Linked DNA regions of Caenorhabditis elegans. The protein of the gene in region 2 interacts with the protein of the main gene of each other region in a pairwise test. Each region holds a gene or a part of one and is shown on either strand. Other genes may lie near its edges.

The links.
Region 1: the proteins of alp-1 (region 2) and pat-12 interact in a two-hybrid assay, tested with the Caenorhabditis elegans proteins (2 studies listed by BioGRID).

The regions. Positions count from the first base shown.
Region 1 is NC_003281.10:735,663-741,073, forward strand, and holds the start of pat-12 (Protein pat-12), read right to left. Parts: upstream 3,317-5,411; coding exon 3,167-3,316; intron 2,019-3,166; coding exon 1,932-2,018; intron 1-1,931. Other genes in the region: idpp-1 (SXP/RAL-2 family protein Ani s 5-like cation-binding domain-containing protein), read left to right, coding at 5,026-5,280, 5,326-5,411.
Region 2 is NC_003282.8:8,850,592-8,855,974, forward strand, and holds the start of alp-1 (PDZ and LIM domain protein Zasp), read left to right. Parts: upstream 1-1,908; 5' UTR 1,909-1,922; coding exon 1,923-2,021; intron 2,022-2,527; coding exon 2,528-2,673; intron 2,674-3,938; exon of another isoform or gene 3,939-3,954; coding exon of another isoform or gene 3,955-3,986; intron 3,987-4,068; coding exon 4,069-4,177; intron 4,178-4,307; coding exon 4,308-4,465; intron 4,466-4,704; exon of another isoform or gene 4,705-4,764; coding exon of another isoform or gene 4,765-4,857; intron 4,858-4,901; coding exon of another isoform or gene 4,902-5,081; intron 5,082-5,142; coding exon of another isoform or gene 5,143-5,383. Other genes in the region: T11B7.5 (uncharacterized protein), read right to left, coding at 4,765-4,857, 4,902-5,081, 5,143-5,383.

The DNA of each region.
Region 1 (5,411 bases), on a different chromosome or scaffold from region 2:
TTTTTAATTTTTTGTATGTTTTTTCCTTCCTCTACATCGTTTCTTAAAACTTTACTGAACACAATTCTAGACCTCTTCAACTTCTGGAATGTATGGCAAACTGATAGTAGGTTTTGTCCCAAAAACCGTGCCCCGGCGTGGTGGACGCGAAGAATGCGATCGAGATGACGTGGAGGATGACGCCACTCGAGCCAGATATTCTGCTCGTAACTGCCTGACTGTCGAGTACGGCGGTTCGGTATTGTCGTCGTTGGTTGAGGACATATTTGGATGGAAGCCTAATTGTCAGTAACTTTTCTATATAATTCTCTAGGATTTTTCAATAAGGCAAGACGAGATCTCAGTGGGAGAAAAGAAAATAGAGTAACTATAAATATAAAAATTATAGATTTGGTCAAAGATGAGATCATTTCAATGATGGACACTTTTTAATTTTGAAAAGGTATCTTGTTAGAGAATTTTTTTTAAAAATCGATTTCGCCAATAAAAGTTAACAAAACAATATCTCCGTGATTTTTGAATTTGCAACTTTCCAAAAAAACTCTTTTCGAGGGCAAAAAATGAAGTGTTGAGCAGCGAGAGCCGACCACTACGGTATGTACTCGAATAAACAGAGAATCCCAAAATTGTGAGAAACGCAGGAAACGAGAGTGCTGGTGTAACGATGAAAAAGAATGGTTTTGAAAAAGAAGTACAACACAATGTTGGACATTTTTCTCACCCGCCCAGCAAACAGAAGCAACAGTGATTAGAGATGGGTGCCTTGCGCTCAGAGTTATGTCTATTGACCACAAAAGTTTTTGAAACAATAGGTATGTTAAAGCTGTTCCGCCGAGAAACATTTGGTTGCAACCATCAAATTTAAAAATTGAAATAGAATTGAAAAGATTGAACCTAGATTCTGGCACCTAATAATGAAAAAAAACACAGTGCTTTTGAGGATAATGGGGAGCCAGAGACTTAGTGAGAGGTCGGAGAGACGCACCCGGGAACTCCTAGGATTTTGACGAATGTGTTTGTCTTTCTTGTTTCGTATGTTAAAAACGAGGGATAGTGGAGAGAAAGACAAAACGAAGCAAAAAGCGCCAGGAGCAACACAGGGGAGGAGGAGGTTAAGGCACGCACGAGCATGAACACTTATCACCATGAGCACACTATTCGGGTCAAATGCGTGTTTCCCCGGTGCGCGGAACATAAGAACGACGCGGAACGCATGACGGTTAAGAACTACTGCAGAGAAATGATAAATACATCTATGTGTGGAGATGACTGGGATTTAACGAATTTCTGTAAATGTTTAGGAATACGTTTGCAGGTGGTGTCAGGCTCTCCCATTACAGTGTGGTCTACGAAAAATGCGGGAATTTTTTCCCAAAAAAATTGTGGTGTCAGCACGCTCAATCATACAAAAAAATCAGATGTCTGTGTCTTACCTCCCGCATTTTTTGAAGATCAAACTGAATTGAGACATTCTGACTCCAAGTGCGTTTGTTACACTAATATAATCTTTTCAGAAGTTGAAGTGAATTTTAACAAACTAAAGTAGAATTTTCGATATTTATTTCACTTTCATATAATACATAGTGGTGGCATAGAAAAGTTATTAGGCCTTAAAAACAGCTCCAGAGAGTACTATAATTTTATAAGATCTCCTGGGTCGTTGTAGAACTCCTATGCAGTAAAAAAATAGAATTCGGGGTAGATCCTTATGTTTTAAGCTATGAATTGGACTTCAAGACTTGCTAAAGTTGTAATTAATTAACCTATTTCTCGACTTGGACATTTTTTAGCTTTGAAGATACTCCTTTTGGAGATGACTATTTACTAGGTAAGTCTGATCGTTGTAATTCTAATGGTTTGATACATTGGTTCACTAGATCCTTAATTTACAATTTTTCAGATATTCAAAATTGTTACCAACTAAAACATACCGAATACTTAGCCAAATGGAAGTCTTTCCTCAGTTGCCAGTGCAGCGGATCTGTACCTTCCGACTTCTCGTTGTCGGGTGCACCAACCTGTAATCAAAACTGTTTGTATTTTAGGCAATTTGTTTCAATGTTGTTCAATTCGAAAATTGCTTTGTTTTTATTTCGGATTACTGATTCAACAGTCAAAGCATCACCCCCACGCATACACCGACAATTATTGTGGGAGGTGCGCGAGCGCGGGCGCCTGCTACTGCTGCTCCGAACAAACTTCGAAACAAACAATTTATGATTGCGGTAAGAGATAGAGTGAAGATAAGGAAGCAATGAAGGTTCAAAGTCAATAGGATTTTCTAAAAAAAAAATAAAGCATCAAATATGGAAAAGGAAATAACATATGATGGTCGAACATGATTATTTTGGAATATCAAACTAGATTAGTTCGTTTTTTTTTTGTCACCAAGAAATTAAAAACCTCAACCAATACTGAATTTTAGTCTTATTTTTAGGCAATAACAATTTTGAAAAAAAACTGAAAGTTAACTAAAAAGGAATATATGCAATGAACACTTTTCCTTTCATTTTGATCTTAAGACTGTATGATCAAGACAAAACCTAAGTTTGAGCCTAAACATAATTCTAAGTACAATCCTAAGCTTAAACCTAAGCATATACCTACGCCTAAACATAGGCCTAAGTCTAAGCTTATACATACGCCTAAGTCTGAGCCTAAGCCTATGCTTATACCTACACCTAAGAATAATGTTTATCTTATAGTTAGGCTTAAACGGATTACACTGCACCCTAAGTCTGAGCCTTAAACTACGACTAAGCCTTAGTCTCGTTATGCATCATTTTTAACAAGAAACAAAAAATTCCTACAACTTTAACCTGAAAACCTCTAAAAAAAACCTACTCATTAAAAAAAATTTCAAAAAAAAGGAAAATCCTCATAAAAATGAAGGAGGAGTAAAGAGGAAAAGAAAAGAGTTTCAAATTCTATCCGTCAAGCCCCCTCTCTCGCCGCGCAGAGCCTCCAGCAGCCACACATACAGTTTGTGTGTGCGTCGGCGGAAGTTTCAAGAGGCTTCTATTCGATCGAAGGAGAGATGTGTTAAGCGAGAGAAAACTCTTCGGCAGAGACACTATTCGATTTGGCGTAGAGCGCAGGACGCAAATTTTTTGGTGGATCTCATTAGTTGAGATTTTTTGGGTTGAGAGTATAGACAGGGGCTTACTTTTCCAGTCGGAAGCTGGTCCATTGATCTGTACTTCTTAGGCTCATTCACCTTTGAGGTGTGATCCAAATATCGATTTTTGCGCATTTTGATCAGCCATCCAGAATCTCCCGGAGATATTGGAGAAGCTTGAGGTTGCTGAAAACTCATTTATTGTTCAACGAATGCTCCGTTTTGAAAACCTGGAGTACCCGAAAACATCCCCGTCTACTCACCGGATTTAGCTGCTCGAATTGTGACGGCGTAGGCAAGACTGACAAATCGCTCATCGATTGGGAAGTTTTCTGAATTTCGGCTGACGGCTCTCTACACACTATTACGCTTCACACCACACCGTGTAGTTTCAGGGAAGTTGGTCAGTAGGTAGTAGGAGGATCCATGTGTTGTCGTTTCCAAGCCAGGGATATCTTTTTTAAAGGAGGGACAACACAGTATAACATGCACATAAGGACAAACAGGAAGACAAACAAACATGCAAGAAAGGGGATATAGACTTACTCTTTTCAGCGTCTCGATTCTCTGGAAACAAAATTATAAAAAATGTTCTAGTGTGAATAAGGTAACCCTAAACCAATGACATCTCTTAATTTTGTCAACTGGGTAATCGGGTCGATTTTTGAAAATGTATTTAACAATCTTAAAATAAATTTTTTTTTTCAAGGGTTCGACAAAGTTTGTTGGTCATCACTTGTAGGCTTTGTGTAATACATTTGTGATGTATTGCCAAATTTTCCTTATATTTTCTAATTTAACTATTTGAATACCTAGATTTATGCGGAACTCCGAATTACTTTTTAACTATACTTTTCATGCAGTGCTATGCATGCTCACCTGTTTCATGGTTTCAAGCTCCCTCAGGCTCTCATCATTCTTCTTTGGTCCAGGCCACCCTGGTTTGTTCCATGGCTGATTGGCTTCGTTTTCCTTTGCCTAGAACGTTTAATTTTATAATTTCATGACTTTATTAAATTAAAATCACCTTCAAATACTCTCTGAGCCGGGATGCTTCCATCTCACGATGGCGATCGACACTCTCGGCGAGATAGTTGCTGGTGGTGATTGGACGCGATTCACTGCTCTGAACATGATATAAAATTTTATTTCAGTCTTCAAAAGTACGGCTTACTCTGAACCGACGTTGCTCGAGCGGATCAAGTTTGATCTTCGACTTGCTATGCTCACTTGGGAAGTCTCCGGCTAGGTTCCGGCGGGGATCCGGAATTCTCGTGGAGATATATGGCATGTTAGCATTTGTGATAACCTGTAAGAGAAAAGTATATTGAGACCAACAAATAAGTTTAAAATAATGAGTCACTTATACAGAGCCTAATGATTTTGTAAAATAAACGTTTCTCGCGACGCAATCTGGCGCTGATCACTGTGATTTTTTTGTCGTAAGTTGCACTTTCTTCTAAAAGTTCCCTAAAGTTAATTGTATTTACACGATTTTTGAAAAACTACAAAATTTGAACTTTCTCTCTTTCCTCCCTCCCCCTTAACTAAATTGATGCGGATCTCAAATGCGGAAGGAGAAAGCCAGGTTGTTTGTTGATTGCCTCGTTACCCTCCACAAATGCTCAACTATTTTCCAGGTTAGTGACCCCATGATCGGCTTTCTTAGGTAGTGAGACTGTTTTTCTCTGGCTCCGTGCTTGCGCGCGCGCACGCAGAAGTTTACTTTCTAACGTTGTAGGAAAAAATGACCGTGTGTGCTCAAAGGAACACACATCGCGATCAGGTAGACTAGGCCTAAAGTATTTAAGGAGTCAACTGGGAACTTTGAGAAAGAAACCGTTTAATTTTCCCTTTTCCTCAAATTTTTCTTTGGTCGCCGTAACTTCTAGATTTTCCAGCAAACGATGAGGTTGCTCATTGTGCTCTCCGCACTACTTATCCCTTGTTTGGCGCAGCTTTCCGAAGACTCATCGGAACTAGAATTTGGTGGGCAACAAGCTCAACGTCCATCTCCCGATGGACCATTGTTCCCTAGATTCTTGATGCATGTGCCTAGATTTGCTAGAAAAGAGTTCTTCGACATTGTTAGTAACGATCAACTCTCTCAAGATCAGCAAAATGAGCAGCTCACAATCTGGGCCAAGGCATTCAATGTGACGGTAAGTACTACCGTCCTTTAAGTTTGAGACACATTTGATTTTTAGGACGAATTTAACGCTTGGACAAAGAAAATTCAAGAACAAAAAGAAGCTGTGAGCAAGAACGTTGAAGCCGTGGCTTCTAATATAAC
Region 2 (5,383 bases):
TTTAATTTTTCATTAAATAAAAATAATTAATTCTTCTAAAACCTTATTGTTGAGTCTGAACTGGACTATGAATTTTACGAGACTGTATAATATATTTATAATTCCGCTCATGGCTCATTTTTGGCATAAACTTGGTAATGTAAACGTTTTGTGATTTGAAAAAACCCTATACTTCATACCACAAACTACTCTAACAAGTGTTCATACTTTTATGTCTCAAGCTCTTTCAAACAAATCGCACTTTTGTTCCAAATTTCTTCTCATTTTCGTCTCGGTCTTCTTATCATCCCATCCCCCTCCCCTTTTCGTTGATAATCAGCAACGCGCACTCGCTTTACTACAAACACGTCCAATACCTGCGCCTCCTCAAAATCATCCCTATATCATTCCGAGAGCTCCCCCGGCTCTCGGGAGCTCAAGAGGAGATGGCCATGAAGTGCGAGAAGGCTTCCCGCGCCGGGAAGAGCGAGAGAATGTCAGAGTTCGAGCGAGAGGATGTGCTCACGCCCGCGCGTGCCGTACACCGTTGGGCCTGAAGCTTTATCCGCACAGACCTCAGAACAGCAGAACCCCCACCTCCGCAACACAACACCAAGTTGATTTTTTGGAATTTTTTTTTGGAACTCAACCGTCTTAATTTATACATTAGTTCTGTATACTTCTAGACTTGATACAATGCAATTTCAACCTAAAATTGAAGATGTAATCTGAAATCACCCATCTCATATAAGAAAACAATGTTTAAAACTACTTTTTAGATTATGAACGGCAATCTACCAATGCCTAAGGTTGGCACGGTTTTTTTTGAATAAAACTTGTACTCTGCAATTCGATAAATGTATTTAGGATCATGTAAGATTGTTTTTTGCCAACATTTTAGCTCACATACGATAGATCTCTAGGAAGTTTAGTTCAGAACGTCATTCGTGGTATTTTGTGTTTATAATTATTTTTTACTTCAAAGCAAGTAGCATTACCAGATTGTTCAAATAGTTCTTTTTTGGTTGGTTTGTAGGACTTTAATACTAATGTTCAAGTTGCAAACGGAGATACAGGACTTCATGTTAAAAATCGTTAGCTTTGTTGTTATAAAACTTTATGTTATAAAACTTTCATAAGTTTATGTAGATTGGCCTACAAAAAGTATCACCTCTTTAAAAGTTTAAAAAATGTTACTGGCAGTTAGAAATAAAACTACAAAACTGGGGTAATATACGGTGTTCATTATGAAACACACTGATTATGAAAAAAAAATTGGAAAAAACTAAAATTTCAATTATTGGGTGTGGTATCGTTTTTTAAACGTAGTTTAAAACTATATGTTCCGTTAAACGATAAGAGTTCCATAAAAAAAATTAACTGTCAATCACGAATGACTCATCGAATCAGAAAACTCGTTATGCTCAGTTTCATAATTTCAATTGAATTTCTTTATTAATTTTAAATAAAACATCTTACTTTTTCAACAATCTTTTTTTTTCTGTTGTAGTCATTCACTACCATTTCCCCCGTCAAATTGCCCGACAGTCGATAAATATACAAAATCCAGCATAATCTCACTCTCCCTTCTTTTACTCTTATTTTCTATTTTGCACTATACGGAAAACAATACGATTTTTTTGTTTTCAATTTTTAATTAAAAGTAAAAATTCAAAATGTCAAAATGTTTGCAAAATTTTTCATCTATAAACGCCACGTGGTTATTGAAGATTTCGTGTAACTATTGGACTGAAACGTTTGCGCTTTAGCAAATAACTGCGTTTGAAGTGGTACACATTTGAAACAAAATGAATATTTTCGGTTGGACAATATTTTTTTAAACATGTTCTACTAAATTCTGTTTGAAACTTTGATTTATTTTTATTTGTTTCGCTCTATTTTATTGACCAGGACACAATAAAATTTCAGGTAGTCAAATCAAGATGGAACGTGTGACCGTTCGAATGGCTCGTTCGGATCGCCGAACTCCATGGGGGTTCGGTGTGACAGAAGCCCCAGATGGAGCTGTTCTTATTGTTAATGTAAGCTCTTTATTATAAATTTAGTATAAGTGTCCCCCTATTTGTCATAAAGTAGTTTGTCAGTTTGTCCAAATTGAATCACAATAAAATTTGTCGTAAAAATTAGTCTTGAGGCATATGTTTTCGTATACATTTAATACAAAAACCAAGAAAACCCATCACATTCACTTTTAGCACCTCTAGGTTCTTACCGCGATCTCAAAAATCACCGCATCACCACAACTGATTTACAATCTCATCGCCTTCCTCACTTTCTCTCGCAGTTTTATCCTCTGGACATGCCCAGGGAAAATCGGAAGAGCAACACAAAAAACATCACTTATTACAATAAGTTAGATGCTTTCAAAATTTCTCTCAAAACTCATAGACAAAATGTAGTGAGAGATTAGTCGTTAACGTAAGAAAAAATGAATTTGAAAAATTGACATGCGTTGGGGGATTTTTTAAAGCAAAGGGAGCCTTCAATTCAAACAAGTTGAATATCGAATAAAAGTTGAAAATTTCAGGTAATAGGTGGTAGCTTAGCTGATCGTGCCGGTCTTCGTAATGGAGATGTTGTTGATCGTTTGGAAGATCTTGACAATTTGGACATAAACGCTGTTGATAGACTTCTAGTTACAGCTCATGAGAAGATTGAACTTATTGTTACCAGGTAACTCATCTCGTTAAACACTTCAAATTTATCAGTATAGCACCAATTATTCAAAATTTGTGTCGACCACAATAAATAAAAATTATATATAAACAGAGCAGGTGTGTGAAAATAATAAGAAAGACATAATTTTCTCGAATATTTCCCCTAAATCGATCCCTTGAAAATGTACACAACCCTAGTTATGTAATCTGTAGCTTTGTTATCACAACGCAATTCAAAGTAGGTTACTTACCAGTTTGTATTTCCGTTTATTAACCAGTCAAAGTGTTCTCCGTTTTAATCACATCACCAATGTATCCTACCTTTCCGTTTTTAATCCGTCTGCGTCTTAGTTTATCTCCAACAGCAAGTGCTTCATGCAATAGAATATAGATATCCAAAATTTTCGAAGCGAACACCCGCCATATAAACAGGCGAACAGATAAGAATCAGGCCAATCGGTACGGGGGAAGCAGAAGGCAACATTCTTCCGAATATCTCGTTGCAGGAAGAAGGAGGGACTTAGGATTTATACATACATATTCCGTTTGATGACAAATCGTTGCAACTGTTTTGAACTGTTTTGAAACGGTCAAATGTCCCAATCAATGTTTTCTTTAGCTTTGCAACAGCTTTGCAACACAAGTTTTGCTCCTCTTATAAGCACTCTAATGTCATTAAATTTGAAGCTCGTTACCTTTTTCCCTCAAAAATCATTCTGTGTTGATAGTTTTAACAAGCTTCAGATATTTTTGCCCCTTTAAACTTATTTTTGAGCACTTTTTACATAAGCAACTGCAAAAAAAGTTGCATGGAAAAATGTTATAGAATTGCCAAAAATAACTGCCACAGCATTCAAGATTCTTTCCAAAACTGCTGTATAGTTTTAAGAAATACCAAAACAAAACAGTTTGACAATTATTATTATTTTGGCTTTTACTTTTCCCGAATTCGCATAATTTTCTCCTGAATGTTATGTTTTACTTTGAACAGTTGAATTTTAAATAAATAGGGTTTTAATGATGAGTCAGTTCATGACAAAGCAATGTACTTCTGACACTGTTCTTTTTATTTCATTCTCTGTTGTTGTATCAGAGTGTTCCAACAATTTATTCACCCTCTCGCACACAAAAACTGAGAGAATGAAATTGTTGAATACTTCCTCTCACATATTTCCCTTTTCCAGGTGTTTATCATTTTTGAACAAAAAAACTTGCAAGTTTCCTTTTTCTTTACGTTTACCCATTTTCCTATAAATATATTTCATGTTCAATTGAAATGATTTAAGATTCAAAAGTGATGGTGAGAATCACAACGACGCCAAGACCATGGTAATTTGAAATTTAATCGAAGAGATTAAATAGAAAATAAATAAATTTTGATTTCATTCATATCAAATAAGTTTAATTTCAGGCAACCATCCGGTGCAGCCACCAGAATTTGGCGTCCAGAAGTAACTGAAAATACTGGACCAGGACAGGATCAAACCCCATATCGTGTCAATTTGCAGCATAGCAGTGATGTGAGTCATTTGAGTTTTGTTTTGAAATAGGAAGCTTCACACAAAATCGTTATTTGTAATCGTTTTTAACGACAATAGCATAACATTTTTTAAAATTTCTAATAAATAGTGAATAATAAATTATTTTTAGACCCGTCCACCACAAGGTTTCAACAATTCAGCACTTCCTTTTGAAACAGATCAACGTGTGAAACATATGCAATACAATTCTCCATTGGGAATTTATTCCGATAAGTCTGCAGCTGAGCAATATGTTCAACAAACTCAAGGATTGGGAGATAATTCAGGGTGAGTGTTTTTTACATGACTAAATTTTTGAAAGAGCACTTATAGTTCAATTTGGCCAGAAAATATAGTATAAATTTAGTTCGGAAGTTGGCCTATATTTTACAAAAAAATTTCTTGAGACAAGTCATGGCCAAGCTTTGTTCACCCTTTACCAACTTCTGAACAAAATTCTTAGGTTTGGGGCAGTTGGGTCAGAAGTGGCGGTCGAATTCCGAGTCTCATAAATTAATCCAAAAATTACAAGACGTTAACGCTTTTTATCATTCAATTTCAAGAAACGAAAAACAAATTAAATGTATTTAAAATCCACGACGGCTTCTCATTTCTCTGAAAGCTGCAGTGAGGTTATCGATGAACAAAAGCTCGCGTTTCTTGCGCGGAAGGTAGTCTCCCTGAAAATTGATATTCTTTATCATAACAATTCAATCGAAATTACCGTGTCGAAACCTCCGGCGACAGCAGCTTTTCCTGCATCATCTGTAGCATCAGTTTTAGCCTTGCAGTCCTCTGGAAGATGTGGCATGACAAGTGCCTTGGCTTGCTTTCCATAAACTTTTGCCAAGTTTTTAACCGCTGCCTTGTCAGCATCATCAAGTGACTCGAATTTGGATTTAAGCTGGAAAATGTAGGATAATTTAGATTGTGAAAAAACTAGGTCTTTTTCTAATTTCCCTCACCTCCGCAGAAATTTCTTGATGACTCTTGAATAAGTTTCCTTGTTCAAAATCGCTGATTACTTCTCCAGCCAATTCTTTTGCCTTGTCCGAAGGCAGATTTGTTTGTGCATCGGTCTTTGCCGCAGCCACAATGTCCCAGAATTTTTGACGAATTCCTTCTCCGAGAGTGTCCAAGAAAGCGTTCAGCTTGGTCATTTTGGCTGCTGCATCATCAGTTCCTTCAAGTTCAACACGAAGAGCT